Anolis sagrei: one gene and its partners. Each later gene encodes a partner of the first gene's protein in a complex. Links are inferred from orthologs where the notes say so. Each region holds a gene or a part of one and is shown on either strand. Other genes may lie near its edges. The genes, in order: LAMTOR1, LAMTOR3, FNIP1 and LAMTOR4.

Evidence for each region.
Region 2: LAMTOR1 (region 1) and LAMTOR3 share a complex: the UniProt entries of both Homo sapiens proteins name them as parts of the ragulator complex. The link is inferred for Anolis sagrei from reciprocal best matches to the Homo sapiens genes LAMTOR1 and LAMTOR3.
Region 3: LAMTOR1 (region 1) and FNIP1 share a complex: the UniProt entries of both Homo sapiens proteins name them as parts of the lysosomal folliculin complex. The link is inferred for Anolis sagrei from reciprocal best matches to the Homo sapiens genes LAMTOR1 and FNIP1.
Region 4: LAMTOR1 (region 1) and LAMTOR4 share a complex: the UniProt entries of both Homo sapiens proteins name them as parts of the ragulator complex. The link is inferred for Anolis sagrei from reciprocal best matches to the Homo sapiens genes LAMTOR1 and LAMTOR4.

What each region holds. Positions count from the first base shown.
Region 1 is NC_090023.1:4,770,445-4,777,920, reverse strand, and holds the start of LAMTOR1 (ragulator complex protein LAMTOR1), read right to left. Parts: upstream 3,129-7,476; 5' UTR 2,970-3,128; coding exon 2,928-2,969; intron 1-2,927. Other genes in the region: secreted frizzled-related protein 2-like, read left to right, coding at 6,053-6,189. UniProt on the Homo sapiens protein: Key component of the Ragulator complex, a multiprotein complex involved in amino acid sensing and activation of mTORC1, a signaling complex promoting cell growth in response to growth factors, energy levels, and amino acids.
Region 2 is NC_090025.1:26,545,402-26,553,548, forward strand, and holds the start of LAMTOR3 (ragulator complex protein LAMTOR3), read right to left. Parts: upstream 3,306-8,147; 5' UTR 3,192-3,305; intron 1-3,191. UniProt on the Homo sapiens protein: As part of the Ragulator complex it is involved in amino acid sensing and activation of mTORC1, a signaling complex promoting cell growth in response to growth factors, energy levels, and amino acids.
Region 3 is NC_090022.1:93,982,709-93,990,036, forward strand, and holds the start of FNIP1 (folliculin-interacting protein 1), read right to left. Parts: upstream 3,234-7,328; 5' UTR 3,043-3,233; coding exon 2,945-3,042; intron 1-2,944. UniProt on the Homo sapiens protein: Binding partner of the GTPase-activating protein FLCN: involved in the cellular response to amino acid availability by regulating the non-canonical mTORC1 signaling cascade controlling the MiT/TFE factors TFEB and TFE3.
Region 4 is NC_090026.1:580,874-588,614, reverse strand, and holds the start of LAMTOR4 (ragulator complex protein LAMTOR4), read right to left. Parts: upstream 3,391-7,741; 5' UTR 3,295-3,390; coding exon 3,292-3,294; intron 3,197-3,291; coding exon 3,098-3,196; intron 1,398-3,097; coding exon 1,280-1,397; intron 1-1,279. UniProt on the Homo sapiens protein: As part of the Ragulator complex it is involved in amino acid sensing and activation of mTORC1, a signaling complex promoting cell growth in response to growth factors, energy levels, and amino acids.

The DNA of each region.
Region 1 (7,476 bases):
AACCTCCAGCCTGTCTGTCTCCAATCCTGCTGGCTCAAGGGTATAACCTATTGCGCCACTGTGAGCTCATAGCAGCCACCCACTGCATGGCTGTCAGCCTCCTCCCAGTAGACTCAAGTCAAGGAAAACCTTCATGAGATCCAAGACTCTTTTTGACGTTCCCCCAGCAACAGCAAGGGTCTCCTTCTGGGCAGCTCAACCAGGAAATACCAACTGGATGGCCCCCCAAGAGGGAGGGTCTTCCTCCAGGGGCAAACCAAGAATGGGCCACTTGGAAATCCCTGAACAAACTCAGAAGCGGAGTGAGCAGATCAAAAGACAACCTGGCTAAATGGCACCACCTAAAAGAAACCCACACCTTATGTGACTGTGGAGCAGAACAGACAACTCCGCATCTGTATGCTTGTCCGCTGTGCCCTGCCTCATGTACAGAGGAAGAATTGTTGGAGGCTACAGACAATGTCGTTGCTGTTGCCCGTTTTTGGTCAAAAGATATTTAGCTGCCTGTGCTCCTTCTATTTTTATCAGATTTATACTGGTCGCACTGCCAGAAGGGACAGAGTTTCATCTATGCTGATGATCATGCCATCACTGCTCAAGCAGGGAGCTTTGAGATGGTAGAACAGAAGCTCTCCGAAGCTCTAGATGCTCTTACTGCCTATTACAGGGAAAACCAGCTGATCCCTAATCCATCTAAAACACAGACATGTGCCTTTCACCTTAAGAACAGACAAGCATCCCGAGCTCTGAGGATGACCTGAGAAGGAAGGAATCCCACTGGAGCATTGCAGCGCACCCAAATACCTGGGAGTCACTCTGGACTGTGCTCTCACCTGCAAGAAGCACTGCCTGAACATCAAGCAAAAAGTGGGTGCTAGAAACAATACCATACGAAAGCTGACTGGCACAACCTGGGGATCACAAGCAGATACAGTGAAGACATCTGCCCTTGCGCTGTGCTCCTCTGCTGCTGAGTATGCATGCCCAGTGTGGAACACATCTCACCACGCTAAAACAGTGGATGTGGCTCTTAATGAGACATGCCGCATTATCACAGGGTGTCTGCGCCCTACACCACTGGAGAAATTACACTGTTTAGCCAGTATTGCACCACCTGACATCCGCCGGGAAGTAGCAGCCAATAGTGAAAGGACCAAGGCAGAGACATCTCCAGCTCATCCCCTGTTTGGGTATCAGCTAGCATGTCAGCGACTTAAATCTAGAAATAGTTTTCTAAGATCTACAGAGACACTTGCTGGAACACCCCAGCAAGTGAGAGTCCAAAAGTGGCAGGCTCAAACCCAGAACCTGATATCAAATGAGAGACTCCCCCCTGGGCACACAGTGGACTGGACGACTTGGAAGGAGCTGAACAGACTGCATTCTGGCACCACGAGATGCAGAGCCAACCTTAAGAAATGGGGCCACAAAGTGGAATCCACGACATGCGAGTGCGGAGAAGAGCAAACCAGAGACCACCTGCTGCAATGCACCCTGAGCCCTGCCACTTGCACAATGGAGGACCTCCTTGCGGCAACACCAGAGGCACTCCAAGAAGCCAGATACTGGTCAAAGGACATTTAATCCACTACCAAACTGGCAAACTTTGTGTCTTTTGTATGTTTGTTTGTTTGTTCTGTCAAAAATGTAATACAAACTGTCTGGCTGCTCCTGACACGATAGATAAATAAATAAATAAATAAATAAAGTAGTCTATTCGGGATGTAACGAGAGAGTGGACCACCGTGGAGCAGAACAGACAACTCTGCATCTGTATACTTATCCATTGTGTCCTGCTTCATGTACAGAGGAAAAATTGTTGGAGGCTACAGACAATGCTGTTGCCCGTTTTTGTTCAAAAGATATTTAGCCACTTGCGCTCCTTCTATTTTTATGGGTTTTATACTAATTTATGCAATACTTTTGATCTATATAAATAAAAATGTAATGTTCGTTTGTGGGATTAACAGAACTCAAAAACCACTGGGCGAATTGACACCAGATTTGGACACAAGACACGTAATAGTCCAATCTATGTCCTTCACTAAAAAAAATTGATTTTGTCATTAGGGAGTTGTAGTTGCTGGGATTTATAGTTCACCTACAATCAAAGACCATTCTGAACTCAACCAATGATGGAATTGGGTCAAACTTGGCACACAGGACTCCCATGACCAACAGAAAACACTAGAAGGGTTTCGTGGGCGTTGATGTTGAGTTTGGGAGTTGTAGTTCGCCTACATCCAGAGAGCACTGTGGACACAAACAATGATGTTGAGTTGGGGAGTTGTAGTTCACCTACATCAAGAGATCATTGTGGATTCAAATAATGATGGATCTGGACCAAACTTGGCATGAATACTCAATATGCCCAACTGTGAACACGTGTGGAATTTGGGGGAAATAGAATCTTGACATTTGGGTGTTGTAGTTGCTGGGATTTATAGTTCACCTACAATCAAAGACCATTCTGAACTCAACCAATGATGGAATTGAACCAAACTTGGCACACAGGACTCCCATGACCAACAGAAAACACTAGAAGGGTTTGGTGGGCATTGATATTGAGCTTGGGAGTTGTAGTTCACCTACATCCAGAGATCATTGTGGACTCAAACAGTGATGGATCTGGACCAAACTTGGCATGGCTATTCAATATGCCCAAATGTGAACACTAGTGGAGTTTGGGGGAAATGGAATCTTGACATTTGGGAGTTGTAGTTGCTAGGATTGATAGTTCACCTAGAATCACAGAGCATTCTGAACCCCACCAACGATAGAATTGGGCCAAACCTCCCACACAGAACCCTCATGACCACCAAAGTGGGCCCACAGCAAACCCCAAAAGGCCCAGGTTTGTCCCTCTGGGTTTGGTCTTGATGACCTTTAGGGGCCCCTCCCTTTCCCCCCATTCTTTGGGCCCAGACCTGGTCCGAGGCCTCGTTCTCGCTGCTGTAGCAACAGCCCATGGTGGCAGCGGTTGCGGAGGACGACGAGGAGGCCGAAGAAGCCGCCCACCGGCCCGCCGACGGACCCTCTGCCGCTGCTCCCCTCGCAGTGCTTCCTTTTTCACTTTCCCCCTCACTTCCGCCCTCACTTCCGGTCACGTGAAGGCAACTCTAGACTCTGTCAACATCCGGGGACTCTGGCAATGCTGGGGAGGGTGGGGCTGGCTCACGTGATCATCCCAAAGGGAGGCCGGGCTCTGAGCTCACGCGCTAGCCAATCCGCTCTCAGTCTGAAGGGGACGCATGCGCATTGCGTACGGCGGAGCGGAAATTTCCATTCCTGCCCTGCCTTTTCTCGCAGGAGGCGATCACGTGATGTGTTTGGGGTTTTTTTTTCTTGCGAAACACTGGCTGCGCATGCGCAATAGGCTTAGTTTAGTTTTTCCTCCCTTCCCTTTTTCTTTCTTTCTTTCCTTCAGTTTCAAAGCCATATCCCTCTTCTAATTGCTCGCACTCATATAATTGCTGCCATAATTGCCTTGTAACTTTATTATATATTATATTTATATTATATTTATTATAATATTATATTTACTATTAATATTATATTATATATTGTTATTAATATATTATAGTATACTTTATTAATTATATATTTTTATATTATATATTATATACTAGTTTGGGTAACTATATATTATATTATTTCCTGAAGCGATAAAAGTCAGTTTCAAAGCCATATCCCTCTTATAATTGCTCGCACTCATATAATTGCTGCCATAATTGCCTTATAGCTTTATTATATATTATATTTATTATTATATTATATATATTATTTATATATATTGTTATTAATATATTATTTTAGTATACATTATAAATTATATATTATTTTATTATATATTATATACTAGTTTGGGTAACTATATTATATCTATTATTATATTATAATTTTAGTATACATTATTAATGATATTTTATTATACATTCTATATTAGTTTGGGTAACTATTATATCTATTATATTATATCTATAATATATCTATTATAGAGTTTGGGTAATTATATTATCATATATATATATATATATATACTCTATAATGTATTATACAGTGATGGTTTTGGACGATTTGGATCTTTTAACTGTGATGATAATGTTTTAATGTGTCTGGTGCTGATATTTGGAATATTGTGTCCAATTCTGGGCACCACAATTCAAGAGAGATATTGACAAGCTGGAATGTGTCCAGAGGAGGGCGACTAAAATGATCAAGGGTCTGGAGAACAAGCCCTATGAGGAGCGGCTTAAGGAGCTGGGCATGTTTAGCCTGAAGAAGAGAAGGCTGAGAGGAGACGTGATAGCCATGTATAAATATGTGAGAGGAAGACACAGGGAGGAGGAGGGAGCAAGCTTATTTTCTGCTTCCCTGGAGATTAGGACGCAATGGAACAATGGCTTCAAACCACAAGAGAGGAGATTCCATCTGAACATGAGAAAGAACTTCCTGACTGAGGGGACCAGCAGGCTTCTTTCCATGGCTCCACACAGCAACGATATTCATTCCGGGCTCCGGGGTCAGACTGCATGCCCTTTGGGTGCCCCTTCCCACAAATTTGGGCTCTGGGATATGACTGCTTGCGCTTTGGGTGCCCCTTCCCACAAATTTGGGCTCTGGGGTACGACTGCTTGCACTTTGGGTGCCCCTTCCCACAAATCTAGACTCCAGGGTCAGACTGCATGCCCTTTGGGTGCCTCTTCCCACAAATTTGGGCTCTGGGGTACGACTGCATGCCCTTTGGGTGTCCCTTCCCACAAATTTGGGCTCTGGGGTATGACTGCATGCCTTTTGGGTGTCCCTTCCCACAAATCTGCACTCGAGTCAGACTGCATGCTCTTTGGGTGCCCCTTCCCACAAATCCGGGCTCTGGAATGAGACTGCATGCCCTTTGGATGCCCCTTCCCACAGATTTGAGCTCTGGGGTACGACTGCATGCCCTTTGGATGCGCCTTTTTACAAATATGGGCTCCTGGGTCAGACTGCATGCCCTTTGGGTGCCCCTTCCCACAAATTTGGGCTCTGGGGTACGACTGCAAGCCTTTTGGATGCGCCTTTTTACAAATATGGGCTCTGGGGTCAGACTGCATGCCTTTTGGGTGACCCTTCCCACAAAGCAGGACTCTGGAGTCGAACTACATACCCTTTGTCTGCCCCTTTCCTACAAATCTGGGCTCTGGGGTCAGACTGCATGCCCTTTGGGTGCCCCTTCCCACAAATTTGGGCTCTGGGGTACGACTGCAAGCCCTTTGGATGCGCCTTTTTACAAATATGGGCTCTGGGGTCAGACTGCATGCCTTTTGGGTGACCCTTCCCACAAAGCAGGACTCTGGAGTCGAACTACATACCCTTTGTCTGCCCCTTTCCTACAAATCTGGGCTCTGGGGTCAGACTGCATGCCCTTTGGGGGCCCCTTCCCACAAATTTGGGCTTTGGGGTACGACTACATGCCCTTTGGGTTCCGCTTCCCACAAATCTAGGCTCTAGGGTCAGACTGCATGCCCTTTGGGTGCCTCGTCCCACAAATCTGGGCTCTGGGGTCAGACTGCATGCCCTTTGGGTGCCTCTTCCCACAAATTTGAGCTCTGGGGTACGATTGCATGCCCTTTGGGTGCCCCTTCCTACAAATCTGGGCTCCGGGGTCAGTCTGCATGCCCTTTGAGTGCTCCTTCCCACAAACCTGGGCTCTGGGGTCAGACTGCATGCCCTTTGAATGCTCCTTCCCACAAAGCCGGACTCTGGGGCCAGACTACATGGCCTCAACCCATTTCTTGAGCTTCTTAAAGTCCTAGTCTCAACCTTTTCTTCATTGGCCAAACTTTCCCTGGAATAGCCCTGTGTCCAGTTGGAGTCCTCATAATTCCAGGTAGGGATTGAGGTCATATAGCCTGACCCCTAAGCAGATGGGCAGACTAAGGCAATTCCCAGCCTCTTTGTCCTTTCCAGCCCTTTCTTTTCTCCTCCTCTTCCTTTTTATCCTTCCCACATTCCCATTGTTTTGGAAGGAGAAGGCTTATTGCAGCCCTCCTCATTGCAAGCCTCCCCTTTTATGACCCTGCTGCCCCTCCCTTTTTGGGGGGGGGCTTCCTGTCCTTTAAAGGGACCACCCATTTCCTTCTTTCCTTCCTTCCTCCTTTTTAGGTTTCCCTGCTTTTCTTCTTCCTTCTTGGACCATCCAGAAGCAGGGTTTGTGAAACTGTTTTTTGCTTAATAGGTGAAGCTTAGTCTTTAGGGGTCTTGGGGAGGTGGGGACCCCCCAAATGGGGAGCAACCAGGATGGGTTGAGAGAGGGTTTCTGGTTTGCTCCAAAGAGAAAGTCTTTGCATGCAAAGAGCAGAGTTTCCAAGGCTTTGCTTTTTAGGAAAGGGGGGGGGCATGAAGGATTGGGGTTCAAGCCCCCCCCCCATTGTGGGGAAGGGGCCTTGCAACTGGACCCATCCCCAAACACACAGCAGGTATATCAAGGGTGCATCTGCACTGCAAAATTAATTCAGTTTGTTTGACCCTACTTTAGCAATGGTGTGGAAACCTGGGAGTTGTATTTACTACCAGAAGTCTTTGGCAGAGAAAAACCTGGGAACTGTATCAGTTTTTGGCAAAGAATTTTGGCAAGGCCTTGCAAAACTATAACTCCCTTGACAATAAGTCATGGAAGTTTAAAGTGGTGCCAAACTGCATCCATTATGCACCAGATACTGTGCTATCTTGGGAAGTTGTAATTTGGTGCACTCATTGCAGAAATGCCAAGAGACCTTGCAAAACTACAACTCCCATGATCCCATAACATTGAGCCACGGCAGTTTAAAATGGTACCAAACTGCATCCATTATGCACCCAATACTGTGATATCTTGGGAAGCTGTAGTTTGATGCACTAATTCACAGATAGGCCAAGAGACCTTGCAAAGCTACAACTCCCATGACTTCAGGAAGTTGTAGTTTGGTGCATTCTTTGGCAGAAATGCGAAGGGACCTTGCAAAACTACAACTCCTATGACTTAATAACATTGAGCCATGGCAGTTTAAAGTGGCACCAAACTGCATCCATTATGCACCCAATACTGTGATATCTTGGGAAGTTGTAGTTTGATGGACTCGTTGGCAGGTATGCCAAGAGACCTTGCAAAACTACAACTCCCATGATCCCACAACATTGAGCCATGGCAATTTAAAGTGGCACCAAACTGCATCCATTATGCACCGGATACTGTGATACCTTGGGAAGTTGTAGTTTGATGCACTCATTGGTAGATATGCCAAAAGACCTTGCAAAATTACAACTCCCATGATCCCATAACATCGAACCATGGCAGCTTAAAGTGGCACCAAACTGCATCCATTATGCACCCGATACTGTGATATCTTGGGAAGTTGTAGTTTGATGCACTCATAGGCAGAAATGCTAAGAGACCTTGCAAAACTACAACTCCTATGATCCCATAACATTGAGCCAAGGCAGTTTAAAGTGTCACCG
Region 2 (8,147 bases), on another chromosome or scaffold:
TTGTAATACAGATTGTATTGGCTTCTGTTGAGTTTCCAAATAACACATAAAAAGAATGCTGGTTTTCCCACACAAAACCAATCACACTTTGTGCTTCCATTTTGGACTGGCTAATACCGTAGCAGCTCTATAATATTCCAATAATAATAATAATAATAATAATAATAATAATGGCTGCCATGACAGCTACTCTATAATTTATACTGTATTAAAATACAGTATTATTATACATGCTAATAAAGGCTTATTGGATTGGAGAGCTGGTTAACTATTTACTGCAAAGGTGTTTCATGTCATTTCACTGTACACAATATTTGGGATAAGGTTTGAATGGAATTTAGGGATTGGATATATGTTGCTGTAACAACAAACAAGGAAGCGACTGTTTGCCTGAATTCTAACTGCTAAGCCTCACCTTTGCCCACTAAATCAATAACTGATGAATGCATCAACACATATGTAAATCTCTGAGATTCAAAGGATCTATGTATTGTCGAAAGCTTTCATGGCCGGAATCACTGGGTTGTTGTAGGTTTTTCCGGGATATATGGCCATGTTCTGGAGGCAATTTCTCTCCTGACGTTTCGCTTGCATCATAGATGCAGGCGAAACGTCAGGAGAAAAATTGCCTCCAGAACATGGCCATATAGCCCGGAAAAACCTACAACAACCCATTCAAAGGATCTACTTTAGTTGAATTTAGTGCCCTTCCACACAGCCATATATCCCAGAATATTGAGGCAGAAAATCCCACAGTATCTGCTTTGAACTGAGTTATCTGAATCCACACTCAAATAATGTAGGATTTGCAGTCTTGATATTCTGGGATATAGGGCTGTGTGGAAGGACCCTCAGATAATCAAGTTCAAAGCAGACATTGTGGGATATAATGTGTTCTTGATGGATTTCATGGATTTCACTGGGTTGGTGTGAGTTTTCCAAGCTGTATGGTCATGTTCCAGAAGCGTTCTCTCCTGACGTTTTGCCCACATCTATGGCAGGCATCCTCAGAGGTTGTGAGGTTTGTTGGAAACTAGGCAATAATAATAATAAACTTTATTTATACCCTGCCACCATCTCCCCAATGGGGACTCGGAGCGGCTAGCATGGGGCCAAGCAAGTGAGGTTTATATATCTGTGAATGTCTAAGGTGGGAGAAAGAACTCTTGTCTGTTTGAGGCAAGTGTGAATGTTGCAACTGGCCACCTTGATTAGCATTTCATGGCCTTGCAGCTTCAAAATCTGGTTGGTTGATGCCTGGGGGATCCTTTGGTGAGATTTTCTGCCTTGATATTCTGGGTTTTATGGCTGCATGGAAGAGCCCAAAAAGAGGCTGAGTAGCCATCTGTCAGTGCTTTGACTGCATCTTCCTGCATGGCAGAATGGGATTGAACTGAATGGCCCTTGGGAGTCTCTTTTAGTCTTTTTATGATTGATGTTCAACCTGTATTATAGTACAGTCTTGCTTATCCTACATAAATGGGCCAGCAGAATGTTGGATAAGGGGAAATGTATGATAATAAGGAGGGATTAAGGAAAAACTTATTAATTACATTATGATTTTACAAACTAAGCGCCAAATCATCATGTTTTACAACAAATGGACAGAAAAAGCAGTTCAATACATGGTAATGTGATGTAGTAATTATTGTATTTACGAATTTAGCACCAAAACGTCGCACTGTATAGAAACAGCTGTGGATCCAGGAAGGAGGCGAACTGCGTTGGACAATATAGAACGTTGGATGAGCGAAAGTTGGATAAGCAAGACTCTACTGTACTTCCCTCAATCAAGACCTATGGAAGCAGCCAAATTAAAAGCAACCCTTTTAATTAGAAATCGTGAAAGAATGCAAACTTCCCAGATTGTCATGGATCTCGGGTGCTCCTTCTCTGAAGATATGGGGTGCATCTGCACCATAGAATTAATGCAGTTTGACACTCCTTTGTCTTTTAGTATCTGTCCACGGAATTCTGCTCAGTGTTTCCTTCATTTTTCGGAAATCAGCTCTCCTAAAGTCCAAAATGGGGGTTTGACTTGTCTTAGTTTTGGGCATGTTTAGCCTGAAGAAGAGAAGGCTGAGAGGAGATATGATAGCCATGTATAAATATGTGAGAGGAAGTCACAGGGAGGAGGGAGGAAGCTTGTGAGAGCCGTTCAGCAGTGGAACTCTCTGCCCCGGAGTGTGGTGGAGGCTCCTTCTTTGGAGGTGTTTAAACAGAGGCTAGATGGCCATCTGTCAGAGGTGCTTTGAATGCAATATTCCTGCTTCTTGGCAAGGGAGTGGATTGGATGGCCCATGAGGTCTCTTCCAACTCTATGATTCTATGACACCACTTTAAGGGCCATGGCTCAATGCTAGCTGTGGAATCATGGAGATGTAGTTTTGGGGGGAGGCACCGGTGTTCTTTGGCAAAGGAAGCTACAGACCTTATAAAACTACAACTCCCATTATTCCATAGCACTGAGCTATGGCAGTTAAAGGGGTGTCCAACAGCATTAATGAACCGATGGTCTCCAGAATCATAGAATCATTGAGTTGGAAGAGACCTCGTGGGCCATCCAGTCCAACCCCCTGCCAAGAAGCAGGAAAATCACATTCAAAGCACCCCTGATAGATAGCCATCCAGCGTCTGTTTAAAAGCCTTCAAAGAAGGAGCCTCCACCACACTCTGGAGCAGAGAGTTCCACTGCTGAACAGCTCTCACTGTCAGGAAATTCTTTCTAATGTTCAGGTGGAATCTTCTTTCTTGTAGTTTGAAGCCATTGTTCTGCATCCTAGTCACCAGGGCAGCTCTTCCTCCCTATGGCTTCCTCTCACATATTTATACATGGCTATCATGTCTCCTCTCAGCCTTCTCTTCTTCAGGCTAAACATGCCCAGCTCTTTAAGCCACTCCTCTTAGGGCTTGTTCTCCAGACCCTTGATCATTTTAGTCGCCCTAATCTGGACACATTCCAACTTAGATTCAACAATGTGGTGGCCAGAATTGGACACAGGATTCCAGGTGTGGTTTAACCAAGGCAGAATAGAGGGGGTGGCATGACTTCCCTGGATCTAGACACTATAGAAAGGAGGGAAAGAGTGGGATACATAGTATGCCTGCTGCAATGGAAGCAAGACGCCTTTAACCCCTTGGCAACCTTCCCCTCTCATTCACCCCCTTGGTGCCTTCCTCTGGTTACAAACCTCCCTTCTTTCCCGGGCGCCCCGCCTGAGAAGTCCTGCCTGGATCCGCAGCTGCATCCCCTTCAAGCCTCTGCTGTCATGTGACTGGAGACTTTCTCTTCCCTTTTCCTGTCCCTCACTTCCGCTTTGGAGCAGGGGAACTTCCGGTGAGAGAGGGCCAGGCCTTGGGAGGGAGGGAGGAGCCACGTGGTTCAGTTCAGTGTCTCCCAAGCGTCAATTAGGCTTATGATCACCTGTAGAGAGGTTGGTTGCATGATTGTCTTAAGCGTGGGGTCTTTCCAGGTGTTTGGACTTCAGCTCCCAGAATTCTCCATCGTTGGTGAAAGCATCTGAGGCTTCTGGGAAATGAAGTCCAATAAAAGGATTGGCCGCCTAGAGCAGTGTTTCTCAATCCTCGCCAAGGTCGCCAAGGACCATCAGAAGTGTGGGAAGTTTGGCCCAATTCTTTCTTTGGTGAAGTTCAGAATGCTATTTGATTGTAGGTGAACTATAAATCCCAGCAACTCCAACTCCCAAATTTCAAGGTCTATTTTCCCCAAATTACACCAATGTTCACATCTGGGCATATTGAGTATGCATGCCAAGTTTGCTCCAGATCCATCATTGTGTGAGTCCACAGTGCTCCCTGGATGTAGGTGAACTACAACTCCCAAACTCAAGGTCAGTGTCCACCAGACCCTTCCAGTATTTTTCTATGTGCCAAGATTGGGTCAATTCCGTCGTTGGTGGAGTTCAGAATGCTATTTGATTGTAGGTGAACTATAAATCCCAGCATCTACAACTCCCAAATGTCAAGGTCTATTTCCCCCCAACTCCACCAATGTTCACACTTGGGCATATTGAATATTCATGCCAAGTTTGCTCCAGATCCAAACAGCCGGTAGGGGTCATGCTGTTCGGAATTGTGGGAGTTGAAGTCCAAAACACCTGGAGGGCCCAAGTGTGGCCATTCCTGGTGTAGATGGACTCAAGCTGGAGAGTCCAGGCAGTTCCTTGCCTACCAAGAAGCTCCACTGGATCCAAATTCCTTGCAGCAGTAGAAGAGACTTTTTGATTAGTAGAGCAGAAAGAATAGATCAAACTCATGAAGAGTGGTAATTAAAATTGTGACTATTCACAAACACATATTGTAGTTGAAAAAGATGAACCACAACAGGAATGCAAATAAACTCTTTGTAAATTGTCTCCTTTTTTTATATTCAAGTACCTGTGACAGAACTAGAGAATCAGATAAAAATGTTTTATTCACACCGAAAATAATTTTATTTTGATACAAGTCTGATATTACATTAGGTAAATTACAAATTAGATTTTTAAAAATCTAACATTACATCTACAGTTAAATAACATATATTTTTGTTAAGATGCCAGTCTCAATTTCATAGAATTTCAATTGCAGGGTGTCTGTTATAAACTGGCAAAGCATGATTCACAAATAGATCTCTCATCCTATCAGCCCTTCCAAAACTAACACTGAAGCCCTTTCCAGTTTCTAGAGCTGTCATGAGACACACATGACAGTTCAATTCCTAAGCACTTGCTTAAAAATAACTCTTATTATTGCCAATGTCAAGTTATGCTTGTAGAGTCTGACATGTTTCATGCAATCCCAAGAAATTAGTAGTCACTATCAGAAAGTCATCCATTGACAGCAATTGTTCTGAAAACATCATTTGTCTGTAGGGCATTGATAATTTTTTTTTTTTACAATTTATTAAGTGCAGGAATGATTCTGTTTATTTTAATGTACTTGGGAATCACATTGCACATGGACATTCCTTTCTTGTAAAAACTAGAAAGTCTTCCTTCACAGTGCAGACAGTTTTGGAATATATCTTATTGAGAAAACATAGGCTAAACATCAAGAACTGCACCAATCATTTCAGTCTAATGGATCAGCTTCTCCATCAACTATATTCAGTAAGATGAAACTCTGTTATGTTTCCACAAAACCCCATCAAAGACCATTAAAGTTTTTAAATTGTGGGCCACTAATGGATTTTAAAAATGTTTATTAAATAATGACAAGGTGGCTTTCTTGTCTCATAGGAAACTAATTTCCAAAGTCAACTTGTTCTTACAGATTCAAAGAATCCCACCTCAAAACGTAAAAGCTCAATGAATTGTCAAAGGCTTTCATTTTCATGGCCGGAATCACTGGGTTGTTGTGAGTTTTCCGGGCTGTATGGCCATGTTCCAGAAGCATTCTCTCCTGATGTTTCGCCTGTATTTATGGCAGGCATCCTCAGAGGTTGTGAGGTCTGTTGGAAATTAGGAAAATGGGGTTTATATATCCGTGGAATGTCCAGGGTGGGAGAAAGAACTCTTGTCTGTTTGAGGTAGGTGAAACTTTCAATTGGCTACCTTAATTAACATTTAATGGCCTAGCGGTTTCAAGGTCTGGCTTCTTACTGCCTGGAGGAATCCTTTGTTGTGAATTAAAACATTCACACCTACTTCAAACAGACAAGAATTCTTTCTCCCACTCTGGACATTTCACAGATATATAAACCCCATTTTCCTAGTTTCAAACAGACCTCACAACCTCTGAGGATGCCTGCCATAGATGCAGGCAAAACGTCAGGACAGAATGCTTCTGGAACATATCCATACAGCCCGGAAAACTCACAACTCGGCACAAAAGCTCCTTTGAAGATGTAAACTTCTTGTGAAACTTTTTAATAGTAGAGCCCTTTTTGGATCATTGGAGGATAACATACACATAGAAACAAAAGCATTTTGAGGGGTTGCAACCTGTGGCAGGTCCCTGGGAAACAAAATTACCCTCTATTGACAAATGTATTTGGTGGGAAACACTGAACACAGTACATGATTACTTGGAGCTAATAAAAAGGTCATCTTTAAATCATTAATGCTGCCCACATTAACATATTTCAGATCCATGTAAGTTCTACAATTTTGAAAGCTACCATAAATTCATGTGTTCTATAGAACTTGAAAGCCAAAAGGGATTTCATCTCCACTTGTGATTCACCCTGCTGGACACTTCTTTCTCTGCAATGTATGAAGTCTCGCAGTAACACTTCAGCCCCTAAATCCACTGTGAAGTGACTGAACCAGAAAACAGACACAAACCGAACTGGAAGTGGTTAGGAGTCCCACGTCAGTTTTTAAAACCTCCAGTTGAGCAGGGAGATGGGAGGACAAGCAAAGCTCTGGTTCCTGGATGCTTGCACGAGTGAAAATACTGGTATATTCTATCTTTTTTATGAGGTATTGGGGTGAGTGCAAATAATAATAATAATAATAATAATAATAATAATAATAAAACCTGGGGGCTCAAAAGGCTCCCTGGGCCTACTGGAAAAGAAAGTTAAGTAACTATTACTTGTGATATTGCATATAACATTTTATGTAAATTTAAATTAATTTTAAAGTGAATTTTGCAAATTACACAATCCTGTAATCCACAAAATAAACTAAAATCATGGAATTTGAATATAGTTGCTGAGTGATGTAGAGCACAGGAAATCTGCTTTGCAGATGATTGTAGGTGTTTAAAGAATCTTATATACAAATTATTCAGTATTGCTTTGGGTTGGAGCCATAATTGGGCCGAGGAAGTGATGAATGAGAATAAGAACAATTGATCTGCTCAATTATTGAATCTGCTTTTAAAAAACATTTTAAACATTCTTTACCCAACTGAGGTTACCTGTGCAACTCACAGCCTTCCCGTTCTGTGGTTCTTTTCCCTCTGAAACACATTTCAGATATACATTACAAAAAGTTTATACAAAAACAGTTGTAATTTAGATCGTGGCACTGAAATCGTGCTGTAGGCTTCCAGATAGGCCTTAAGTATGCACAGAAGTTTGGTTTAACATAAAAACTGTGTCCAAGAAGTCCTATGAATCAAGGGAAATTGATCTCTTTAGAAATGTTCAATCTATTTTTTAAAACTTACCTGTATGAATTAGACAACACTGAGATTTACTACAGAAAAAAGGTAATATATTCTTACCTAAATTAAAAATTCTGACAGAAGCTGAAACAACTCTGCAGGCTTGTTCTATGTTCTAAGATAATTCACAGTTGCTACCCTTGACAGCAATTAAAACTAAAATTAAAAAAGAATTCAGAATTTGATGTGCAGTAGCTTACAAACATTTGCTAAAATCCTCATTTTTCAGGCACCAGGTCTGCTATGTTTTAGTGTCTTGAAAACTGCACATTGCATTTACACTAACAAAAGTGACTACATGCATATTTCTTATACGAGTCCTCAAAATCTAAACCCTTCATTACATTCTTGCTATTCAACGCTCTTTATAAACTTCCATTCTGCACACATCCGGACTGAAACACCTGTTCTGTGACTTCTTAGCTGGGATGATTGGGCCAATGTGAAGTTCCAGGTACAACTAATAGCAGCATTTCAAAACAACCTGAGAATCAACAAAATGGTTCAAAGGCACAAGGCTTAAGTCCAGGAACAACTTTCTTGAGCAGTCTGATATCCAGGTTAACAAAAATGCTAGGCTGCCAAACAGCTATTTATAAAATACCAAGCTGCTTGCAGATTTACAGCATAGGAAATTCCATGCCTTCCATGTTGAAAGAATTTGCAACTCAAAATGTTAAAAGGGTGGGGGATGCAGCAGCAGTGTGGTCTTTATTATGCCAGGTTTTCTTTTTAGTGTATCAGAAGAAGCAGCATGCTAAATGGAATGTTTGTATATTTCAGTTTTAGGGTGACTATATTTCACTCAGCAAGAAATAGCCTGGTGTGGATTTCTCCACTGTCACTGCTTAGATATGAAGTGTTCAAGCTGCAAGAGGAAAATGCTGGCATTCTGGCAATAAACCGGTTTAATCAAGCATTTTAACTTTAAATTAACATGGCCTACTAAAAAAAGATACTAAGTTTCTTCAACATAGAATTGTATGCAAAAAAGTTGCCTGTTCCTTTCGGTTCCACATACTTGATACTTA
Region 3 (7,328 bases), on another chromosome or scaffold:
GGGAGCAGGGAGCAAGCTTGTTTTCTGCTTTCCTGGAGACTAGGACATGGAACAATGGCTTCAAACTACAGAAAAGGAGATTCCACCTGAACAATAAAAAGAACTTCCTGACTGTGAGAGCTGTTCAGCAGTGGAACTCTCTGCCCCGGGGTGTGGTGGAGGCTCCTTCTTTGGAGGCTTTTAAACAGAGGCTGGGTGGCCATCTGTGGGGGGTGCTTTGAATGCAATTTTCCTGCTATTTGGCAGGGGGTTGGACTGGATGGCCCATGAGGCCTCTTCCAACTCTATGATTCTATGATACAGTGAAGAGGCAGCCTTGATCAGAAATCTAATCCCAAACATTATTGAACCAGCAAGAACTTCTAAAAGCCACACTTCTAACTTTAAGCAGCTGGATTTAGGCCTCCATCTTCAGGACAAAATTATACCAACAGTACACAAAAGAGATATACACACATTGTAAGATGATCATTTCGAGAGTTCAAGAAGACTCTCACTAGTCACATTTCTGTTGATGTTGTTGTTACAACAGCAAGATAAAGGGAGAGCCAGAAAAGCCCAGCCAGGCAAGGTTCCTCTGTTGTGGAAGGATCCTGACTGATTTCTCTGGTAACCCTACACTCCTCATCCGCTGTCAAGCAAGAGGCAGCGGCCCAAGTTGCAGATTTAAGGTGGCTCTGGCCAGGCACACTGCCATCCTCTTCCCCTTCCAAGGAAAGCGGCCAAGGGAAATGTCAACCTTCATTTCAATTTTTTATAAACACAGAGAGAGAGGTCCAAATCACTGCCCGGATCACCCCAACCCTTTCTGCAGAAAAGGAAAGTCATGGCTGGCAAAAGAGAAGGAAAAGACTACTCCACCCCTTCTTCCCAACTCAGCAGCAAGGGGTACATCATCTAACAATGCAATCTGACAACAGGTTAATGGCTACTAGCTTTGCTAGTTTAGCCTTCTCTGACAAAGGGAGAAACCAGAAAGGCCATCTGACAAAGAAACCCTCCAGACAGCCCTCTAACCCAGAATATCAAGGCAGAAAATCCTACAATATCTGCTTTGAGCTGGGTTAACTGAGTCCACACTGCCATAGGCAGAAAATGTGGGATTTTATTCAGCTGTGTGGAAGGGTCTAAGGGTAGCGACGCCTCACCAAACCAGAAAGCAGTCAAACTGCATCCATTCTACAGTGTGCATGCACACAAACAAGGAAAGTTTGCAAAAGGAGAGAAAGAGAGGAAGAGGGAGGAGAGTGAAAGAGAAAAGAGGAAGAGTTCAAAAATCGGCCAAAAGGAGGAAAATGGCTCGATTTTGTCTCTTTCACAGTAATGAAGAAATTTCTCTACTGCTCTCCAGCCCTGAATGTCCACGTTTCAAAGGGAGCTGAACAATTTTAGAGTTGAAGGGAGGAAGGAAAGCAAGGCTGTATGGCTGGACTGAGAAAGTGAAAGAGGCAGGAAGGAGCAACGTTGCAGGAAGGGGGAAGCCAGGGGAAGTGAGCCTTAGAGTTATTAGGGCTGGGTTGTTGTGAGTTTCCAGGCTGTATGGCCATGTTCCAGCAGCATTCTCTCCTGACGTCTCACCTGCATCTATGGCAGGCATCCTCAGATGTCGTGAGGTCTGCTGGAAACTAGGAAAATGGGGTTTATATATCTGTGGAGTATCCAGGGTGGGAGAAAGAACTTTTGTCTTGTTATTAGGGGTCTTCCTCCTGGCGATTTCCACTTGAGATCCTCTACAGTGGTTCTCAACCTGGGGTCCCCAGATGTTTTTGGCCTACAACTCCCAGAAATCCTAACAGCTGGTAAACTAGCTGGGATTTCTGGGAGTTGTAGGCCAAACACATCTGGGGACCCCGGGTTGAGAGCCACTGCTCTAGAAGTTGGAAAGGGAGGGAGCTGCACCTACACTGTAGGATTAATGCAGTTTGGGCACCACTTTGGACTGCCACAGCTCAGTGCTGAGAGTGGTGGCTTTCCTCACAAGGTCTTATAAAAATATAATACACCCCAAGGAGTCCACAGGATGAAGCCAAGTGGTGCCAAACTAGGTTAATTCCACAGTGTAGATGCACCCAGTGAAGGGCAATACTCAGAACTGGGGAGGTTGTGAATGATACTATAGATACATGGAATGTATAGAGCAGGCATCCTCAAACTGTGGCCCTCCAGCTGCTTGGGGCTCCATCTCCCAGAAGCCCTAACAAGCTTGTTCAGTTGTCAGGAATTCTGGGAGTTGAAGTCCCAAACAGCTGGAGGGCTGCAGTTTGAGGATGCCTGGTATAGAGTATACCTAGTACAGTTGTTCTCAACCTGTTGGGCCCCTGATGTTTTGGCCTTCAACTCCCAGAAACCCTCACAGCTAGTAAACTGGCTGGGACTTCTGGGAGTTGTAGGCCAAAACACCTGGGGACCCACAGGTTGAGGACCACTGAATGTATTCATAGAGTATCAGGCTGTTAGGAATTGTGGAAGCTGAAGTTCAAAACATCTGGAGCTCAGCTTGCCCATGCCTGTGCCACAGTATTGCAAATGAAGCACACACACACAAAAAGTGGGTTGCTTAAGTTTTTCAGGCTGTATGGCCATGTTCCGGAAGCATTCTCTCCTGACGTTTCGCCTGCCTCTATGGCAGGCATCCTCAGACGTTGCGAGGTCTCACAACTTCTGAGGACGCCTGCCATAGATGCGGGTGAAACGTCAGGAGAGAATGCTTCTGGGGCATGGCCATACAGCCCAGGAAACTCTCAGCTACCCAGTGATTCCGGCCACGAAAGCTTTCGACAATGCAAAAAGAAGTTCTGCGATGTGGGAGCCCTCCTGGCCCTTCCTGCATTGTGTTTACTGAGGAGGCCAAGAAGAAAGAGAGTAAGCGGGGTGGGGGGGGGGGGCAAGGTGGGAAGCCCCTCTCCTGGGGGTCCCTCCCTCCCTCCCTTCCTCTTTTCCCTACCTGAGGACGCACTCCTCCTTGGGTTCCTTGGCGGGCGAAGGCGAGGCGCTGCTCCTCTTGTTGAAAAGCTTCTGCAACAGGGTGGGCGTGGGGGGCATGGTGGGCGCAAGCAGGAGGAGGAGGAGGGTCCCTCGCCTGCCTCCCAGCAGCAGCAGCAAAGGCAGCTAGTTCCGCCAAGGCGAGTCCATTCGGCCCGCCTTGTCTCCCTCGCCGCCTCTCTCTCCCTGTGTGTGTGTATGTGTGTGTGTGTAAGGCGCCCGCCCGCCCGCGCGTGTGACAGTCATATGACAAAAATTAATCACTCGGAGAAGCCCCGGCGAGGGAAGGAGAGGGGCGGGGCTCGGGGAGGGCTTCCCCGCCGCGGATTGGCCGAGGAGGCCTGCTCACGTGGCACAGGGGCGGGGCTTGGCGCGGCTCAGAGGCAGGGTGTGTTTTGGGGCCAGAAAGGAAGGCAACGAGGAGAAGGAAGAAGAGGAAGAAGGGGGAGATCTCTCCCGCCAAATTTGGCCCCAATCCACCGCCCCCTTCCAAGCACACTCTCAAGCAAGGAGGGGGTTGGCTCGCAAAAACAAAAGGAAACATCCTCAATCGTCGTTTGTGTTTTGCTTTTTTTCAAAACTGATTTCTCCCCCTCCTCCCTCGCCTTGATTAAAGAGCTGCAGCTCCAGAGCTCGATAAGGGATGCAACTGGTTGTCCTATCTTCGCTGCCATATCATGCAGTTTGGAACTGCATCATGTGGTCAGTGTAGACCCAATGGTTTTAACCACATAATCACTCTAGAGAATGAACCCACTTTAAATCCAGTTTCTGCCTCCTGCAGAATCCTGGGATTTGTAGCTTAGTGAGGCTGTGAAAGGCCCCTCACTAAACTACAAACCCCAGAATTCTGCAGGAGGCAGAAACCAGATTTAAAGTGGGTTCATTCTCTAGCGTGATGAAGCATTGATTTTAAGTTCATAGTCACATGAACTGATTTTAAGTTCATAGTCACATGTAATAATAATAATAAAAACTTTACACCCCGCCACCATCTCCCCAAGGGGACTCAGGGCGGCTTACGTGAGACCAAGCCCAACAACACATCAGTAAAAGCAAAGCAGCAAACAATAAAACAGTACAATTAATATAACTCACATATAAGCAATAACACAAAATTTAAAACCTTATGTAGCGGGGGGGGGGGGGGGTTGAGGGGCTTCAGTCCCCCCCCCCCCCCCCCCCCCGAAATTCTCAGGGTGATCCACGAGAAGGCCTTACTGGTACGTGGCACGGTGGCGTCCTTGTCCACACCTGGGCCATCAGCGCACTCTCTTTCCTTTGATTTCAGCCTTCGGTGCCGGGAGAGGAAGGGGAGTGCGCCGGCACTATCCTCAATATATCTCATATGCATGGGGGTGTTGGGATAACGATATAAAAGGTTGGCTAGAGTAGATTCTCTCTCACTCAGACTAAGCCCCCACCCACCCCCCAAAACATTTTTCCCACATCTATGGCAGGCATCCTCAGAGGCCTCACAACCTGAACATTCACAGTAATCAATATTGCATCTACTTTGGAGAATCTGTTTCCTTAGCTGCTCCTTTGAGTTAGTACTTTCAGTTCTTACAACAAAAGTGAGGGACACACTTTGTTTTGTTCAAACTCAGCTATTGTACTATTGTGTAGAATAAAGTAAAGGATCCAAATAAGTATTGTCGAAGGATCCAAAAAAGTGTTCTCCTTTTTTCATTAAGAATCCAGAATAACCCACAAGACTGTCAAAATTCTAGCTTCTGCTTGTGATTATGACAACATCCAGAAAGAATCAGGAGAGAAATGTTAATAGGTTTCTGTGAATTTTCCAGGCTGTATGGTTGTGTTCCAGAAGCATTATCTTCTGACGTTTCACCCACATCTATGACAGGCACCCTCAGAGGTTGTGTGGTCTGTTGGAAAGTCGGCCTAATTTCTAACAAACTTCATGATCTCTGAGGATGCCTGCCATAGATGTGGGCAAAACGTCAGGAGATAATGCTTCTGGAACACAGCCATACAGACCAGAAAATTCTCAGCAGCCCAATAATTCCGACCATGAAAGCCTTCGACAACACAGAAATGATGATGTTTGTGAAAGCCCATGCTTATAATTCTATCACGTTCAACAGATGGCACCAAATAAAATCCTGGAAACCGTGCTATGTATACTCAAGTATAAATTTATACACTTTTGTAATAAAAAAATATAAAAAAACAGCCCCCACAAAACTGGGCTGACTTCTCCATAGGTCAATGTACCGTAAGTAACTCATAAAAAAAAGGAACCACCTCCCTCTCTGCGTAGAATAGCCAAAGAAGAGAGATTAGTCCATCCCAAAAGAACTTAAAACAATGTTTCCCAACCTTTGGTCCTCCAGGTGTTTTGGACTTAAGCTCCCACAATTCCTAATAGCTGGGATTTCTGAAAGTTGAAGTCCAAAACACCTGGAGGACTAAAGGTTGGGAACCACTGACCTAAAAGCAGCACCCATCTTTCTACTCTCACGGCCATGGCACCACTTCTGGCCTTTTTCCTGCCTGGATTCCCAAAGGGCAGTGGTGGTTTGGAATGAGGTGACAGTGGTGCTTTCTGTCTCCTTGGTTTGACCCACAAATTATCCACAGGTCATATCAAAATCAACCCATACATTGTAGCCTGACGGCAAGAGGATCATAAAAGCAGCATCATTCTCATCATATCTGCACACAAATGGAGAAGAAGTTGTAATTTCAAATCATATGTATAGCAGGGGTTGGGAATTTCAGGCTCGGGAGCCAAACCTACACCTCCTGGAGTCCTCATTTGGCCTTCACATTTTCCCCATCCGACTGGACTCCAATTGTGCGAGGAGGTATAATGGAATGGAGTTTCCTAGAGGATATGAACTGGAACACAGACTAAGAGCAACATTTTCTGGCATCTCCCACTTCTACCTTTTCCTGCCATTTGTTTCAGTACATACTGTTCTAGAATATAAGAGCCAAGAAGGCCCCAGCCTTACAGTCCCTTTGCAGAATGAGAGCTCTACACAGCAAGCCATGTGGAAGTGGCCAGCATTGCAAGGCCTCCTATCATCATCCCTGTCCTGCTCTCCGGGGAGTGCTATTATGGGGAAGAGTTGAAGCATGTGCTCTTTCTGGCAGAGGGAGCAGTCCTGCTGCAATGTTCCCACACCTCAAAGTTAACAGGAGAGTATCTGTAACCATTTCATCAGTGCTGCATGAAAGCCACCAATCCTCAGCTCACTATCATTGAAATAGGAGAAACATAATACTTAGCTGTTTGAAAAAGTCATTGTATGGATTATTGAGTGAATGTATGGGTGTTTTTGTCTCTCAGAGGGGAAAAAAAAGTTGCTGTTTTTGTTACTTACAGAATCCTTTTCTGCCACCTCATCACAGCATGGAACTGAAGCTGGGCTCTTAAAGCGTTTACTGCCAAAACACAAGATCTGGCAGCTTTATCAAGTTGGTAAAGCTTTGAGTACAGCCTGGTGGTAGACTGTGTATCTGTCATGTGATGACCAGCTCAGCTAAATACTGAGAATGCGGCAGCAATTATGAACATAGCAATGTAATGTGGAATCCACAACAGTGAAGGAACAAATGAGGCATTCACAGATCTGCAAGGCATTACAACAATTTTTATTCTTCCTTCCGTCGTTGTGTTTAATGTTAGCATCATAGCTCTAGATGGCCTGTGGATAGCTAAAGGTAGCAGAGACCTCTCAGATCACCTGTATTAGAGGAGGGGAACTATGGTTCTCCAAAACCTGTTGGATTGAAGTTCTCGGCAGCCCTTGGCAGCACAGGCAGTGGTGAGGGATGATGGGTACATACTCATCTATATATATAAATTTGTTAGGGGCATCCAACGAGGAAACAAAACTCAAAAACCCCCCAACGAAACTTAACCAAAATTGCCATGCCCATAACACAACCCACAAGGTACAAACATATCTACTCAAAATGAAAAACAACACAACAACACAGTCACAAAACAGCAAAACAACAAAACTCAAAAAACCCCAACGAAACTTAACCAAAATTGCCATGCCCATAACACAACCCACAAGGTACAAACATATCTACTCAAAATGAAAAACAACACAACAACACAGTCACAAAACGGCAAAACAACAAAACTCAAAAAACCCCAACGAAACTTAACCAAAATTGCCATGCCCATAACACAACCCACAAGGTACAAACATATCTACTCAAAATGAAAAACAACACAACAACACACTCACAAAACGGCAAAACAACAAAACTCAAAAAAAACCAACGAAACTTAACCAAAATTGCCATGCCCATAACACAACCCACAAGGTACAAACATATCTACTCAAAATGAAAAACAACAC
Region 4 (7,741 bases), on another chromosome or scaffold:
TATATATATATATATATATATTAGGCCTGGGTAACAACGGAAAAATTTGTTTCTAAAATCGATTCGTTTTTTGGGGGGTTTTGCGTTTTGTTATTTAAAATAATTACAAAATTTTCCTTAAAAAAAGTTCGGTATTTGCGAAATTTCGTAAATGGTAAAAAATTTACAAAACAATAACGAAACAATAACGAATCGATTCGTTAATGGCGGCCGCGATCGCGCAAAACGCTAAAAAACTTCAGAAAAAACTTCTGAAGCTTCCCTCTCCCTCTGTTGTTGACTGTTGGTGTGATATTATAATTTTTTTTCACTAATTAAACAAAAAACAACCATAAAACTTGCCCCAGACATGCGGAAATAATAACGAAACGATCTCAAACCAATAACGAAACAAATACATAACGAAATACGAAGCATTTACGAAACAAATTGAAAAATTCGTTTCGTTTTTAAGTTGCTCCAGAATGGTTCGTTATCGCTTCGTTAACAAAAAATTAACGGATTTTTAACGAATTACGAAACGAAACGCCCAGCCCTAATATATATATAGATAGATAGATAGATAGATAGATAGAGATAGATATAGATAGATAGATAGATAGATATATAAGCTGCTCTGAGTCCCCTTGGGGGTGAGAAGGGCGGCAAAGAAAGGTCATAAACAAATAAATACACAGGCCAGAAACTACAAACTACAAATCCCAGCGCTCTGCAGGAGTTGGAAAGGCAGCCACAAGGTTGGGAGGGGAGAGGTGCCCCAGTCATGCATCACAGCATCAACCTGCAGCAGAATTCTGGGAAAAGTAGTTCAGGAGAGGTGGGACCTGCTTGGGTCAGAATCCCAAAGACTCTGCTGTTGACTACATTTCCCAGAATCCTGCGGGAGTAAGGCTGATACACAACACACCAAGCCCACACTGACCTCCAGCAGTAAATGGAATATTGGGGGGGGCATAAATACACAGGCCAGAAACTACAAACTACAAATCCCAGCACTCTGCAGGAGGTGGAAAGGCAGCCACAAGGTTGGGAGGGGAGAGGTACTCCAGTCATGCATCACAGCATCAACCTGCAGCAGAATTCTGGGAAATGTAGTTCAGGAGAGGTGGGACCTGCTTGGCTCAGAATCCCAAAGACTCTGCTGTTGACTGCATTTCCCAGAATCCTGCAGGAGTAAGGCTGATACACAACACAACAGCCCCACACTGACCTCCAGCACTACATGGAATTGGGGGGGGGGGGGGTCCGCAGAGAAGGCCTCCCCTCCCTCTGCTCTCACCTGAGATGCGTCGGAAGGGAACTTCCGTGGAGCGGGGCAGGCGGAAGGCGCAGGCGGTGCTGGCCAGCTCCGAGAGGGCCGCCGCCGTGCGCTCGTCATTCTCCAGGTCGCCCGCAGACTGCAAAAGGGAGAAGGAGAGGGTCAACCAGGGAGGAGGAGAATTACCATTATGATCAGTTAGGTTTGCTTATGCCCCACCTTTTGGAAGCAATTTGACCCCATAACAATCCACAATACACAATTAAAAGATTTAAAATAGAAGAGAGGGGCCCAGGAAGACAGCCCCATCTAGTCTCCTGTGTCAGGCTAATAATATAATATATTGGATATACATAGAATATTTATAATATTATAATGTCATGCAATAATAATAATAATAATAATAATATATTATTATTATTATTATTATTATATATTTATATTACATGTAATACTACTAATAATATTACAATATGGTGGTATGGTGCAATATAGCAATGTTTAATGCTGATATTGTACTATGCTAATTATATAATATATTGCATGTAATATAAACCTTGTAAGCCGCTCTGAGTCCCCTTCGGGGTGAGGAGGGCGGCATAGAAATGCCATAAATAAATACATAAATAAATAAATAAAATATTTTAAAGAACTAAAGTACATCAGAGGGTATACCAATATCCACCGGGAATAGCCAGACATAGAGTTTTCCTTTTACCCCGGCGTGCCATCACAATAATGCTGTAAGTGATTATGAATAAGCCAGGAGCCAGACATGGAGGCGAAACGTCAGGAGAGAGTGCTGCCGGGTGACATTGTCCACACAGTGCCAGGAAAACACACAGCTAACCCAAGCCCAGCCTGCCCCTGTTGATCTCCAACTAGGCCCCGCCCCTCCTCTTTCAGGCCCCGCCCCCTCCACCTCTGGCCCCGCCCTCCTATATCTCGCTCCTCCCTCCCAGGCCCCCTCTGAGGCCCCGCCCTCCTATACAAATCCCGCCCCTTCTCTCACAGACCCCACCCCCTCATTCTTCTCTTTTCTTAATCCCCGCCCCTTCAATCCCAGACTCCGCCCTCCTCTCGCAGGCCCCGCCCCTTCTCAGCCAGACTCCGCCCCCTCTCAATGTTTGCTTCCACTTCTTAATCCCCGCCCCTCCTCTCCCAGGCCCCGCCCCTCTTTTCCAGACCCCGCCCTCCTCCCGCAGGCCCCGCCCCTTCTCTCCCAGACTCCGCCCCCTCTCAATCTTCTCTTTTCTTAATCCCCGCCCCTTCAATCCCAGACTCCGCCCTCCTCTCGCAGGCCCCGCCCATTCTCAGCCAGACTCCGCCCCCTCAATGTTTGCTTCCACTTCTTAATCCCCGCCCCTCCTCTCCCAGACCCCGCCCTCCTCCCGCAGGCCCCGCCCCTTCTCTCCCAGACTCCGCCCCCTCTCAATCTTCTCTTTTCTTATTCCCCGCCCCTTCAATCCCAGACTCCGCCCTCCTCTCGCAGGCCCCGCCCCTTCTCAGACAGATTCCGCCCCCTCTCAATGTTTGCTTCCGCTTCTTAATCCCCGCCCCTCCTCTTCAAGGCCCCGCCCCCTCTTTCCCAGACCCCGCCCTCCTCCCGCAGGCCTCGCCCCTTCTCTCCCAGACTCCGCCCCCTCTCAAATTTCTTTTCTTAATCCCCGCCCCTTCAATCCCAGACCCCGCCCCCTCTCGCAGCCCCCGCCTCTTCTCACCCAGACCCCGCCCCCTCTCGCAGGCCCCGCCCCTTCTCTCCCAGACTCCGCCCCCTCTCAATCTTCTCTTTTCTTAATCCCCGCCCCTCCTCCCGCAGGCCCCGCCCCCTTTGCTCACGGCCAGGACGGCTCCGTCGCAGATGACGAGGTACCCGGTCTGGTCGGGGACGCGCTCCAGCCCTTGGGTCAGCGCCGCCGCCGCCGCCGCAGAGGAAGCCTGCCCGAGGGAGAGAGAGAGAGACCCGGATGAGCACAGGAAGAGGGGGGCCAGGGGGGCCAGTCCCTCCCCTCCCGGTCGCCCTGGCAACGCACCATCTCCACAGCCAAGGGGCCCGCGCGTCACGTGAGGGCCTCCAACTTCCGGCAACACCCTTGCAGCTCCGCTAGGCGTCCCGCCCTCAATAGGCGCTCTTCCCCCGCTCCCTGCCGGCCTCCCATTGGCTCCCGTGGATGAGTGGGCGTGGCGTAGCCGTGGCTTCCTCCAATCAAAGACTACGAGGAAGCGTGCCGCCCAATGAGGAGGAGGAGCAGCGCGGAGGGACCGGAAGTGAGGGAAGAGGGATGCCTGGCCTCAGGAGGGAGGGCCCCTTCTTCCCCGGAATCTCCCAAAGAGAGAGAAGGAAGGGCCCTCAGCGCAGGATCAGAGGGAAAGAGTGGGAGAGACCCCCAAAGGCCAGCCAGCCCAGCCCCCTTCTTTCTGCCTTCATGCAGGGAAAGCACCATCAAAGCACCCCCGACGGATGGCCTCCCAGCCTCAACACTACTACTGCTGCTACTAATAATAATAGAGTTGGGAGAGACATTTCAAGGCCATCTAGTCCAGCCTCCTGCAGGGGAAGCACCATCAAAGCACCCCTGAAAGATGGCCATCCACCCTCAATAATAATAATAATAATAGAGTTGGAAAAGACATTTAAGGGCCATCTAGTCCAATCCGCTTCTGCCTTGCAGGGAAAGCACCATCAAAGCACTCCCAACAGGTGGCCAGCCAGCCTCAATAATAATAATAATAATAATAATAATAATAATAATAGAGTTGGGAGAGACATTCAAAGGCTATCTAGTCCAACCCCATTCTGCCTTCATGCAGGGGAAGCACCATCAAAGCACCCCTGAAAGATGGCAATCCAGCCTCAATAATAATAATAATAATAATAATAATAATAATAATAGTATACTGTGGACTCATCTTATTGTATTTCAAATAATAATCATAATCATAATAATGAGTGTCTGCTGTGGAGTCATTTTATGTTTCTAATAATAATAATAATAATAATAATAGTGTTGGAAGAGATCTTTAAAGGCCACCTAGTCCAGCCCCCTTCTGCCCTGCACATTTAAAGCACCTCTGACAGATGGCCACCCAGTTATTTTTTTGGCTTTGAGCAACTGCATCATCCCATGTGGGGCTAGCTGACCATATCCTCTGTCTTCTCCCCACGGTCTGCTGTACCGATCCATTTAGTTTTCATTTAAATCAAGAACTGGCAAATAGAGGGAGAAGGCGTGGAGACAGCGACAGGGTTTGTCCTCCTAGGCGCAAAGAGGTTTCGGACTCCAACTCTCACAGTTCCTAAGAGCTGGTAGGCTGTTGGGAATTGTAGGAGTTGAAGTCCAAAACACCCGGAGGGAGGGAGGGCTGAAGGTGGCCTGGGCCTGAGTTAGAGGAAGTAATGCTACCCCTCTGCTTTGGTTAGACCACATCTGGAATATTGTGTCCAATTCTGGGCACCACAATTCAAGAGAGATATTGACTCTAAGCTGGAATGTGTCCTGAAGAGAGCGACTAAAATGATCAAGGGTCTGGAGAACAAGCCCTATGAGGAGCGGCTTAGGGAACTGGGCATGTTTAGCCTGAAGAAGAGAAGGCTGAGAGGAGATATGATAGCCATGTACAAATATGTGAGAGGTAGCCACAGGGAAGAGGGAACAGATCAAGGGTCTGGAGAACAAGCCCTATGAGGAGCGGCTTAGGGAACTGGGCATGTTCAGCCTGAAGAAGAGAAGGCTGAGAGGAGATATGATAGCCATGTATAATTATGTGAGAGGAAGCCACAGGGGGGAGGAGGGAGCAAGCTTGTTTTCTGCTTCCCTGGAGACGAGGACGCAATGGAACAATGGCTTCAAACTACAAGAGAGGAGATTCCATCTGAACATTAGGAAGAACTTCCTGACTGTGAGAGCCGTTCAGCAGTGGAACTCTCTGCCCTGGAGTGTGGTGGAGGCTCCTTCTTTGGAAGCTTTTAAGCAGAAGCTGGATGGCCATTTGTCAGGGGTGATTTGAATGCAATATTCCTGCTTCTTGGCAGAATGGGGTTGGACTGGATGGCCCATGAGGTCTCTTCCAACTCTTTGATTCTATGATTCTAGACATTGGCTTGCAGGTAGCCCCATGGCTGTGAGTCTAGACAGCTGTTGTCCTCCTGGAGTGATGGTGGGCGTTGTCCTGGCGTGGCTAGTCTTCCTGGCGTGGCCTCACTTCCATTTCTGTCCAATATAATTTGGGAGTACATTGTATTTGAAGACACCAGCTGTACATTAGTCGTGTTATTTATTAACGAGCAAGATGTGCCTCTGCTCAGATGCCTGCCTTGCTTGAGGGCCCTTGCAAGGGAAGGAGCCCAACGCCGTCTCTTGAGCACTTCCGTAGTGTCCAATGCATTCAGCCAAGGCATTGCTCCAGACGGGAGCTGGCCAAGGGGGCCGATGCACAAGGTGTGCTAACTCAAACTGCAAAATGTGCACGAATGAGAACCAGCACTTTCGAGTGTGTATTGACCCCCTAGCACAGCCGTTCTCAGCCTTCCCAATGCCGTGACCCCCTAACACACTTCCTCACGTGGGTGGTGACCCCCAACCAGAACATTATTTTCGTTGCTACCTCATAACTCTAATTTTGCTCCTGTTATTCGTCGTAATGTAAATATCTGATCTGCAGGATGCATTTCGATTCACTGGACTAAATTTGGCCCAAATACCCAATAAGCCCAAATCTGAATACTGGTAGGGTGGGTGGGAGGGATTGATTTTGCCATTTGGGAGCTGTAGTTGCTGGGATGTATAGTTCACCTACAATCAAAGAGCATTCTGAACGCCATCAATGATGGAATTGACCTAAACTTGGCACACAGAACTCCCATCACCAACAGAAAATACTGGAAGGGTTTGGTGGGCATTGACCTTGAGTTTGGGAGTTGTAGTTCACCTACATCCAGAGAGCAGTGTGGACTCAAACAATGGTGGATCTGGACCAAACTTGGCATGAATACTCCATATGCCCAAATGTGAACACTGGTGGAGTTTGGAGAAAATATACCTTGACATTTGGGAGTTGTAATTGCTGGGATTTATAGTTCACCTACAACCAAAGAACATTCTGAACTCCACCAAGATGGAAATGAACCAAATTTGGCACACAGAACTCCCATCACCAACAGAAAACACTGGAAGGGTTTGGTGGGCATTGACCTTGAGTTTGGAAGTTGTAGTTCACCTACATCCAGAGAGCAGTGTGGACTCAAACAATGATGGATCTGGACCAAACTTGGCACCAATGCTCAATACACCCAAATGTGAACACTGGTGGAATCTGGGGAAAATAGGCCTTGACATTTGGGAGTTGTAGTTGCTGGGATTTATAGTTCACCTACAATTAAAGAGCAATCTGAAATTCAGCAAATATCAGTGTTTCTCAACCTTCCCAATGCTGTGACCCCTTAATACAGTTCCTCATGTTTTGGTGACCCCCAACCATCAAATTATTTTCGTTGCTACTTCATAACTATAATTTTGCTACTGGTATCAATTGTAATGTAAATATCTGATACACAGGATGTATTTTCATTCACTGGACCAGATTTTGCACAAATACTCGATACTCCCAAATCTGAATACTGTTGGGGGGGGGGGGGGAGATATTCATATTGTCATTTGGGAGTTACAGTTTGCTGAGATTTATAGTTCACCTCCAATTAAAGAGCATTCTGAAATGCACCAAAGATGGAACTGAACCAAACTTGGCACACAGAACTCCCATGGCCAAAAGAAAATACTGGAAGGGTTTGGTGGACATTGTAGTTCACCTACATCCAGAGAGCACTGTGGATTCAAACAATGATGGATCTGGACCAAACTTGGCATGGGTACGCAATATGCCCAAATGTGAACAGTGGTGGAATTTGGAAGTCGTGATTCCTGGGATTTTTAGTTCCCCTACAACCAAAGAGCATTCTGAACTCCACCAACAATAGAATTGGGCCAAACGTCCCACAAAGAACCCCCATGACCAACAGAAAATACTGTGTTTTCTGATTATCTTTGGTGATGATGTCAGGCACCCCCCCCCCCCTTTCAGAATTAAGGGATAAGAACTTATAGTTCTGCAAAGGGCAAGGTCACCAGACTACACAACAAGGGTTAAGTCTTGACCACATTGCCAAGGCACTGACAACAACAAGGACCCCACGAGGCTTTTTGGGAAATGGCTGGATCTTGGGACTTCTGCCCTTTTGTGAGAGTTGTAGTTCCCCAAGGGCCGGACAATGGATTCTGTTGCTGCCTGACCCAGCGCACATAACTGGGTTCCTGTTTCCTTTTTGTGACTCTCTGACTTATGCACTGGACTATTTATCATATCCATGACCACGAACTATCCTTTTCAAAGTTTATGAAGCCTCCAGCTTGTGCCTTAATAAAGATCAATTATTGAGATAAACTTTATGGGGTGGGAAGGGGTTCCTCTTCTGCTCTAACTCTGTAT